Mus musculus: one gene and its partners. The protein of the gene in region 3 interacts with the protein of the main gene of each other region in a pairwise test. Links are inferred from orthologs where the notes say so. Each region holds a gene or a part of one and is shown on either strand. Other genes may lie near its edges. The genes, in order: Fam53c, Tnfaip3 and Ywhag.

Region 1 (3,653 bases), on a different chromosome or scaffold from region 3:
GACTTCTGTTCCTCATGCTTACACAGCAGGCGCTTGCCTGCCTAGCCACCTCCCCAGAACAGCAGTAAATAACTTTTTCCCTAGGTCATTTGTGATATGTGAAAATACATCTGAAATGCAGTTCCTCAATTGTGCATTAGCCCAAGGCCTGTGGTCATGAGCTAAGTAAGACAAGCAGAAGCTCTCTAGCCTGTGTAGCCGGGCTGCCTCATATCTATCCTGAGCGCCTGGCAAGGGAGGCGAGTGGGCAAAAGCTGCCAGTCGCTCGCTCTCTCTCTCTCTCTCTCTCTCTCTCTCTCTCTCTCTCTCTCTCTCTCTCTCTCTCAGAAGCACTTGTTGAAAGCCGGTTTCCGTCCTGAGGGTCCGTGCTCCCTGCCTTGGGATGGACAGGAATGGGAAGAACTGTTGACTTCTGTCATCAAGTCTCACTTCATATTACTTTGATTTGTGCCTTTTCTAGAGAATTCTTGAAAAAACTTAGAAAATAACTCACTATTTTCCCTAAATTGGTCTTGCATGGGAATATAGAGGCAAGGGGTTGAGCAGCTCTTGAGAGGTGGAGGCAGGAGGCTATATAGCAAATTTGAGGCCAGTTTGGATTACATGAGACCCTGTCTCAAAGAAGGTCACAATTTGGGGGGACTGGAAAGATGGCTCAGTTGGTAAAGTGCTTGCGTTGTAAGCATTTGGTTTGTTTGGGTCCCCAACATCCACATCAAAGCCTGATATGGTGGCACAGTCTATAATAAGCCTGATATGGTAGCACAGTCTATAATAAGCCTGATATGGTGGCACAGTCTATAATTCTAATACGTTAGTACCTAAAGAGGTAGAGACAGGTTGGCCAGCCAGCCTATCCAAATTGATGAACAACAGGTTCAGTGAGAGTCCCTATCTCAAAAAAGGGGGTGGAGAGAGCAGGCAGAATGTCATAAAGCACTTGGTAACCTCAGTTTCCTCCATAGGACCCACTTGGTAGAAGGAGAGCTATTTCCCCAAGTTGTCCTCTGACCTTCACATACATGATTGTGATGTTAGTACACATAACACATGCATATACCGATAAACAAGTGTAATATAAAAAATAAAGTGAGGTAGGTAGTGATTGAGGGAGACATCAGATGTTGACCTCTGGCTCAACATGTGTGGGCTCTTATCCATTCTCACATGAACATGGGTACACACGTGAATAAGAACGTACACACACTCCAGAAGTTGCAGCTGTGGTTAGAATGCAGTCCAGATCATTTCTTTTAGCCCATTTCCTTTTCTTTTCTTTTCCTTACCTTTGGTAAGCACAGGGAGTTAGCCCAGGTTGGCCTCAATTCAATATGTCGCTGATGATTAATGTGAACTCCTTATTTTTTCACCTTCATCTCTGGATTCCTGGATTATAGGACTGAGCCCTACCCGGCTTGGTCCTCCAGTCTTTGGCTTTAAAAGAAGGCCTCAAGCCAGGCAGTATGGTGCACACCTTTAATCTCAGCACTTGGAAAGTAGAAGTAGGTAGATCTCTGAGTTTAAGGCCAGCCTGCTCTATGTACTCAGTTTTAAGGCAACAAGGCTACATAGTAATACATAGACTAAAAAAAAATAATTTTCAAAATTGAATAATGAAGGCCTAAGGAGACAGGAAGCAGAGTATATACACAAACAGATACAGAGGGACAAACCAGCTCAGAGGCTTAGGGTTTCTCAAACACGTGTTCTGCCATCAGACCCGCAGACATCCCATTGCCTTTCCTAGGAGTAACAGTGACTTCCTCCCCGCTTTGACTACTTCTCCAGACAATGCTGCCTGCCTTACCCCTGAAGACACAGAGAGAGGGAAAAGGCCGGAGGAGGAGAGCAGGCTGGGAGCAGGGAAGGTTAGGTTGTCCGTAGAGCTAGGGGGTGAGTGGGAATAGACACACAGGTTGGTTTGTCTAGGGTTTTTGGGAGTTTTTGTTTTTTTCCCCCAAGACAGGGTTTCTCTGTGTAGTCCTGGCTGTCCTGGAACTCACTCTGTAGACCAGGCTAGCCTCGAACTCAGAGATCCACCTGCCTCTGCCTCCCAGGTGCCAGGATTTAGAGGCATGGCATTACCACTTCACAGCTCATACAGGTTTCTTGATTGACTGCATTTTTGAGGAGGAGTGGCAGACAGTGTATAAACATTCTTGGTGCCAGGTGGGTTCTCAGGCTGCAGGTAGCATGGTGTGGGTGGGTTTAGATCCTGTTCTGTTCCCTTAATAGCTGTGCCTGTTAACCTTGGACAAGCACAGTCATAGTACTTCCTTCATGGAGACTTTTGAGAAATTACATTCTGTGGTACAGTAGCTCTTAGAATATGTTAGCCATTAACCCTTTTCATTATGCATGCCTTTCAGAAGGTGCTTCCTGGAGGGGCCTGCCCCACTGTTCCTGTGCTGAGTTCCAGGACAGCCTCAACTTCAGCTACCATCCCTCAGGCCTAAGCCTGCACCTCAGACCACCCAGTCGGGGAAACTCCCCCAAGGAGCCGCCCCTCTCCCAAGTACTGAGCCCCGAACCCCCAGACCCAGAGAAGCTTCCTGTGCCCCCTGCCCCTCCATCCAAGAGGCACTGCCGCTCACTCTCGGTGCCTGTGGACCTGTCTCGCTGGCAGCCGGTGTGGCGGCCTGCCCCCTCCAAGCTGTGGACTCCCATCAAGCACCGGGGCAATGCTGGAGGGGGTGGGCCGCAGGTGCCTCAGCAGAGCCCTCCGAAGCGGGTCTCCAGCCTCAGGTTCCTCCAAGCTCCCAGTGCCTCGTCTCAGTGTGCCCCAGCCCACAGACCCTACAGCCCTCCTTTCTTCAGCCTGGCCCTGGCCCAAGATTCCGCTCAGCCCTGCGCCACCTCCCCTCAGAGTGGCTCCTGGGAGAGTGATGCAGAGTCCCTGTCGCCCTGCCCACCCCAGCGCCGCTTCTCCCTGTCACCCAGCCTGGGCCCACAGGCGAGCCGCTTCCTGCCCTCTGCCCGGAGCTCTCCCGCGTCTTCCCCAGAGCTGCCCTGGAGACCCCGAGGTCTCCGAAACCTTCCCCGAAGCCGCTCACAGCCTTGTGATCTGGATGCCCGCAAAACTGGTGTCAAGCGGCGTCATGAGGAAGACTGCAGGCGCCTTCGGCCTTCCTTGGACTTTGACAAGATGAATCAGGTGGGACTGGCAGACCAGAAGCTGTTTAAACATCTCCTAATTCCCTACCTTCTGGCAAGGCCTCCCTGGGAACTCTTCTGTCTAGAGTTTATACAAGAAAACCACCCTGGCAGTATTGAATTTTAACCTTTAATGTCTTCTGCCCTGTCAAGTTAGTCCTTAGTATTCTAAAGAAACTAGACTGAGGCCTTAAGCCTTCAGACAGGGATCCTAATTGTCCTGCCAGAGGCACTTTTCCTCTTCTCTGAGAACTCTAGACCACAGGATTCCTGTCCTCAGTGTCTCCTCTGCAGTCTCAGGGCTGGTTTTGTTCCCTGGCTTCAGTGCCCCCTGTCAGCCTTTGGGAGCTTAAGCAAGATGAGCAGTGGCTTTCTAAGCCCTAAGCTGAGAGCAGCCACTGTGGGTGACTTGTCCCCTTTTGCCATAGTTTTCCTTCCAGATCGCTTGGTCATAGGGCTCTGAGAAGTTGTTCTCTTAGTCATCCAGCTATTCAGAAAGC
Region 2 (2,654 bases), on a different chromosome or scaffold from region 3:
GTTTTGTGTAAAAGTCATTAAGCATCCGGTAACCTCATTTGTACCTTGCCGATGTATCACCTAACTTCCCTATTTTCTTCTGTATAAAAAGTTTGATGCTCAATTTGACAAATTACATTCAGATTCTACACAATCTTGCATGTTGGCCTGTCTGTCATTTGCCAACTCTTTGCCCACCTGCGACTAGAGACCCTTTCCACACAGACAAAGGGACCCAGAGGGTCTGCAGCACTGGAGTACATATCCTTACTCTCATGCACTGATTATTTCATGTGTGTGTGTGTGTGTGTGTGTGTGCGCGCGCGTGCGTGCATGTTCTTAGTGTGCATGCATGTGCAACTATATGCATATGTCACCACATCTAGCTTGTATACAGGCAATACAGATTAAACTCAGAGCCTAATGCTCGAGTAGCATGCAACTATGGACTGAGCCATCTCTCCAACCCCAATTATTTTTCAGAAGATATCATTCTTTCCATGGGTAAGAGTTTCACCCATGGCTCGATATACATCAAATTCTTCACATCTGAGCCTATCTTCTTCCAGCACTCATTAACAGAAAGCATCAGAATTTGTTCTTAAATAATTTATTTTTTAATATTGACTTTTGTGAAGTTACAGTTCTTTAAAACAATCTGAAGTCCAAAAAAGATAGATCCTATCCTTTGAAAGACAACTGTGCAAATTTCACAAACTTTCTATAAGTATAAATAACCATTTCACATTAACAATGAAAATCAATAGACATAAAATAATAGACTATTAACTTTGAAAGAACAAGATGAAAATGCTGCATTGTATTTGACATCTTTGGGAAAGAAGGACAAAGACATATGTAAGGGGAAAAGATAGGCCGCAGATATGAAGAGAAAAGGCTATGCAGAGTTAGACATCACAAGTATCTTCAGGTGCTAGGCTAGACCCCAGATGTCAGCCTTTATCTCTACAAAGCTATATTTCCCTCCTAAAGCAAGTCCAAAGCACACAGAAAAGCTGCAAGCAGTGGCAGAAACTTCCTCGTCCTCACGGCTATTGGCTTTGCTTTCTCAGTGTTCCTATCCAGTACCCAAGGGCACAGCATTTACACAGTAAGCCAGGGTCATGAAAGGCCATGTAGTTGTGTCCCTTCCCACTGTCACCTCACTCCATCCCTATCTTTTCTTCAAAGAGGTAGGATACTTAGAAGCATATATGGAAGACAGACAATTTCTTCTTGTGCAGCCAGGGAGTCATAGGAAGCAGCCGATTCTACAGGCTTATCCATAAAGCAACCCCTTCTTTCCTAGGGAGGTAACAAGGAGAGAGAAGACAGCCATCCCACCACACTCCATGGCCAGGGACTAACCAGGCCCCCAGGACATGGTGGAAAGCAAATATGTTATCTCAAGAAAATACTGCAGAAGGAAATCTTCATTTAAATAACTTGGAAGTTCATAATAAATAAACCAGAATGAGGGCTCCCGTTAAGAAGACAGCTTGTTGAATTCACGTAACAAGCTGTATAGACAGGGGCAAGCTGACAACAACCAGAAAATAGGTTGTTCTTATTCAGTCTTCCTACTACCACTAGGAAACCATTTCAATATTTTAAATCCCTCATACATAATATAAGGGTATATTACATATGTACATACTCTGATACACACCCTCAGTTCAAAGTTATTCTCTTTGGAATGGGAGACAATGGCCAACACTGGCATGTCTTCCCACCAGACGTTCTGCTGTCTAGAAGGTGCATACAGCCGAGAGCGAGCAGCTTGGTTTGTCTCCATGTGAACATGTGTCTTTTCAGCAGCCACGGGATCTGTGTGCAGGTCTGCTTTCCTGCAGAACCTTGGGAGCCAAGTCGGCAGATAGGGAAGCCCATTGACCACAGATGTGCTCCGCCTACGTCCTGTTTTTCCCTGAGCTTCCTCTAGCATCTTGTGGAGGGCCTTGGAGCTCTGAGAATTCAGCTTTGGCTCTCTGAGAAAAGCTTCCAGCTGGCAGCAGTAGGATGGTTCCAGTCTCCATCCTACTTTCCCATACGCCTTTCTTCCTGTTGCCTGGCAGCCAGGCTCAGGAACTGCTGCCAGTCCTAGCACGCATTTCGTGTCTAAAGATCTCCACATCCTCCTGGTAGACGAGCAGCAATAGCTTCAGGCTGACCCTGACATCATGCACTGCCGGTAACCAGGTCTACTCTCAGCTCACCAGGGCAAAGTCTCGGTTACTAACCTGATGGTCATGGCTGTGACGAAGGAAGAGCTTATCTTGCCTACTTGCTCAAAGACACTTGAAGCCACTGTCCCAGGGCCTACCCTTCCTGTGGCACTCAGGGGTCTGGATCACAGTACCACTGTGAATGGCAGTTTGAGGCTCCTTCTTGCTGGACCTGTCAATGTGTTCGCACTTAGCCATACATCTGCTTGAACTGGTAGCACTCATTGCAGTAACCATTACACTTGGCATTGCCAAAGTGATCACAAGCAGGGGCCCGGCAGCGCTGTTTAGGGGGCTCTTCAGGCGTGGGCTCACCCCGGTGGGCCACAGAACCTACTCGTTGGCTTAGGTGCTGGCACTCCATACAGAGTTCCTCACTGCGACAGGCCAGAATGTTCTTGCAGGAGGCCCGGGCACATTTCAGCCTTGAGGCTACCTGTGTAGTTCGAG
Region 3 (3,653 bases):
GAGCTCTTCTGGCATCTGAGCTGGGGATTGGGTTGCACCACAGTGGGGCTTCAGTTTCTCCAGAGACCTGTGAACTGGCCTGTGGCTGACCATCCAGGTGCTTGCTCTCTGCAAACCGCTGTTGAGGTTCTCGGACGGAATGTAAAGAGTTAAGGAGGAGACTGGAGGGTCAGACCAAAGAGACCAGACAGCCGTGGAGGTGGTTGTTGATGAGGAAGGCCGAGGCTTCATGGGGAGTCCTGGTGCTGAAGACCGTCTTTCCATACTTGTAGCACGTACTTCATCATGAATTAAGCACTCCACAGTGCCTCAAGCTTTTAATCCAACCGTGCCAGAGAAGGCCAAGTGTTCTAGGTCAGCCAGGACTACATTGTAGTGAGACCTTTAGGTCTCAAACACCTAAAGATACTCGGGAACATGCAGAAATCTTTTTTTTTTTTTTTATGGGTATGATAGTCGGACTATAGCTCAGTGGGTAGAGGGCCAGGCTAGCATGCCAGAGGCCCTGGGTTTGATCCCTAATACCACCTAAAAAGTAATGGTGGGGCCACACAGATACATCAGTCAAGGCCTAGAGAAATGCAGCCGCTTGTTCCTCAGGTCTCCTAACAGGCTCTTGTCTTCTGGGGATTTTGTACTGACTAAGAGGTCCGCAGAACTCAGCAAGAGGTAGGCAGGTTGGTCCACACTTCACAGTCAGCCCACCAGCACAGAGCCTAGAGCACAGCGAGTGAGAGTTTGAGGCAAGGTTGTCTGACTTGTTTGTTTTTTGGGGTTTTGTTTTGTTTTTTTCCTTGTCAACTTGACACAATCTGTGGGCAAGGCGTTTTCTCTCTATGAGTGATAGGGGCTGGGGGTGGGGAGCAGGAAGTGAGGCTCAGCCCACTGTGGGTGGTACCAACTCCGGGCTGCTGGTTTTGGGTTGTATAAAAATGTCTGCCGAGTGGGAAGCAAGCCACCAAGCAGATCCCTTCCCCCATGTCCTGACTTCTCCCAGTAATGGAGTGTGACCTGAGGGTTATAAGAAGAAATACTACTGCAGGGAGGTGGTTGCACACGCCTTTAATCCCAGCACTTAGGAGGCAGAGGCAGGCAGATTTCTGAGTTCCAGGACAACCTGGTCTACAAAGTGAGTTCCAGGACAGCCAGGGCTACACAGAGAAACCCTGTCTTGAAAAAACCAAAAAAGAAATACTACTAATTATGTGTTTATTTATTACAGCAGCAGAACCTAACTGAGGTGGTGTCAGTCTATATCCCTCCAGGGCCTGTGGGCACAGGGTGGCGACAGCATTATAGCCACAGGCTTCCCTTGTCTAGCTTGTAGTCCCGATGGAACTGGGGCCTCATTCTTAACTCCTGCCGTTCACTAGGAATGAGATGGTTAATCTCGGGTACTGGGCTCAGGGCGAGGGCGGGGTGCAGTGCATATGAGGTCCTGGGTTCTAGCTCCAGCACTAAGTGGCTGCCATACTTGTCCCCTCTTTTTTCTTTTCCCAGTACTGCAAGTTGGAACCTAGCATGCATAGCTGCAGCCCCAGTCCTGAGAACTGTTGTAGCCATCAGATGGTATTAAATCCACTTCCCTAGTCTGCTAAGATTCCACAGTGGTCAGGATCTTTAGTTGGTCTTTTCCTTTCCTCCTTTTTTGTTTTGTTTTGAGACAGGATCTCTATGTAGCTCTGACTGCCCTTGAGTTTATTATGTAGAGCAGACTGGCTTCAGACTCAGATATTTTATGTCTATGGCTTTTACCACATGTGCCTGGTACCTGCAGAGGCCAGAAGAGGACATTAGATCTTCTAGACTTGTAGTTAGAGATGGCTGTGAGCCACCATGTGGGTGCTAGGAAGTGAACCCCAGGTCCTCTGGTAGAGCAGCCAGTGCTCTCAAACTCACAGAGATTGCTTGCCTGCCTCAGCTTCTCAGGTTGGGTTTAAAGGTGTGCGCCACCAACCTCCTGGCTTCTCCAGTCCCATTTTAAATTGGGGGGGGGGGTGTTTCAAAACAGGGTTTCTTCATTTATTTATGTGTGTTGGGGGAGTTTATGTGATATGTGGAGGTCAGGGCCAACTTGAGAATTAGTTCTGGCCACTGTAGATCCCAGGGGCAAACCTGTGTTGAGGCTTTATAATAGGCCACTTCACCTTCTGAGCCATCCTGCCTGGCCCAGTCGCCCAGTGTCCACTTCCTGTCGATGTATCATCTGTTTGTTGTTAGCATAGGAGTAGAAAAACTTCCTTTTTGCTCAAAAGTCAACTTTTAAGGGTGACTCATTCTTTCCCAGAGGGACCATGACTCAAGTAAGAGCACTGGTCAGCTTGAGGATGCCTGCTCTCTTCCTGAGAACATGGCCATCTCATGCTGAGAGTGCTAGGTGTCCATGCCACGGGAGAGGATTTGATTTGTCCTTAGGACAGGCTGACGGTTCTTCCGTGGAGGACACTGGTGCTTGAGACTGTAGAAGCCACCTGTGCTGCTCCTGTCACTCACTCCCCTTCCTCCCAGCCAGAGTGCAGTGTTTCTGCCTGCTAACGGTCTCCATGGTGCATGGACCTGTTGTGGGTTGATGTAAAGATAGCTTCACCCCATTGTCATCACCTGTCGTAACGGTGCTCGGTCCTTCCTCCTCCAGGTGACCGAGCTGAACGAACCACTGTCCAATGAGGAACGGAACCTCCTGTCGGTGGCCTACAAGAACGTGGTGGGGGCTCGCCGCTCCTCCTGGAGGGTCATCAGCAGCATCGAGCAGAAGACGTCTGCGGACGGCAACGAGAAGAAGATCGAGATGGTCCGAGCCTACCGGGAGAAGATCGAGAAGGAGCTGGAGGCCGTGTGCCAGGACGTGCTGAGCCTGCTGGACAACTACCTGATCAAGAACTGCAGCGAGACCCAGTACGAGAGCAAGGTGTTCTACCTGAAGATGAAAGGGGACTATTACCGTTACCTGGCAGAAGTGGCCACCGGGGAGAAGAGGGCGACCGTGGTGGAGTCGTCTGAGAAGGCCTACAGCGAAGCCCACGAGATCAGCAAGGAGCACATGCAGCCCACCCACCCCATCCGGCTGGGCCTGGCGCTCAACTACTCGGTTTTCTACTATGAGATCCAGAACGCCCCGGAGCAAGCGTGCCACCTGGCCAAGACCGCCTTCGACGACGCCATCGCCGAGCTCGACACTCTGAACGAGGACTCCTACAAGGACTCCACTCTGATCATGCAGCTGCTCCGAGACAACCTCACGCTCTGGACGAGCGACCAGCAAGACGACGACGGCGGTGAAGGCAACAACTAAGGCCCCAGGTGGACTGGCAGCGCCCGCTGATGCTACTACTGCAGTCTTTATTTTTTCCCATGAGTTGGGGGTCGGGTGGGGGAGGGGAAAGGGAGGGGTGACCTTCCCAGGGAGAAACCCACGACTGTCCTGTCTTTGATTGCCTCTTTGACATTTTTGCCAAAATACCACTAGTGGAAAGTCAGGCTAGCTATGCTGGTATGGGAGTAGCAGCCTCACACAGACGTCCGGACTGTTGTGCAGGCTCGGAACGAGCAAGCGGAGCTGTCTGCCTTTAGTTTAACTTATTGCTAGACGGTAGGGTTCTAAGAAGAAAAACCGGAGATGGATGGCCCTCATTCAGTGCGTTCTGTGGTTCCAG

Evidence for each region.
Region 1: the proteins of Ywhag (region 3) and Fam53c interact in binary tests that used the Homo sapiens proteins (3 or more experiments, as listed by UniProt). The link is inferred for Mus musculus from reciprocal best matches to the Homo sapiens genes YWHAG and FAM53C.
Region 2: the proteins of Ywhag (region 3) and Tnfaip3 interact in binary tests that used the Homo sapiens proteins (3 or more experiments, as listed by UniProt). The link is inferred for Mus musculus from reciprocal best matches to the Homo sapiens genes YWHAG and TNFAIP3.

The regions. Positions count from the first base shown.
Region 1 is NC_000084.6:34,765,799-34,769,451, forward strand, and holds part of Fam53c (protein FAM53C), read left to right. Parts: intron 1-2,369; coding exon 2,370-3,154; intron 3,155-3,653.
Region 2 is NC_000076.6:19,000,337-19,002,990, forward strand, and holds the end of Tnfaip3 (tumor necrosis factor alpha-induced protein 3), read right to left. Parts: coding exon 2,395-2,654; 3' UTR 574-2,394; downstream 1-573. UniProt on the Homo sapiens protein: Ubiquitin-editing enzyme that contains both ubiquitin ligase and deubiquitinase activities.
Region 3 is NC_000071.6:135,910,634-135,914,286, reverse strand, and holds part of Ywhag (14-3-3 protein gamma), read left to right. Parts: intron 1-2,635; coding exon 2,636-3,292; 3' UTR 3,293-3,653. UniProt on the Homo sapiens protein: Adapter protein implicated in the regulation of a large spectrum of both general and specialized signaling pathways. Binds to a large number of partners, usually by recognition of a phosphoserine or phosphothreonine motif.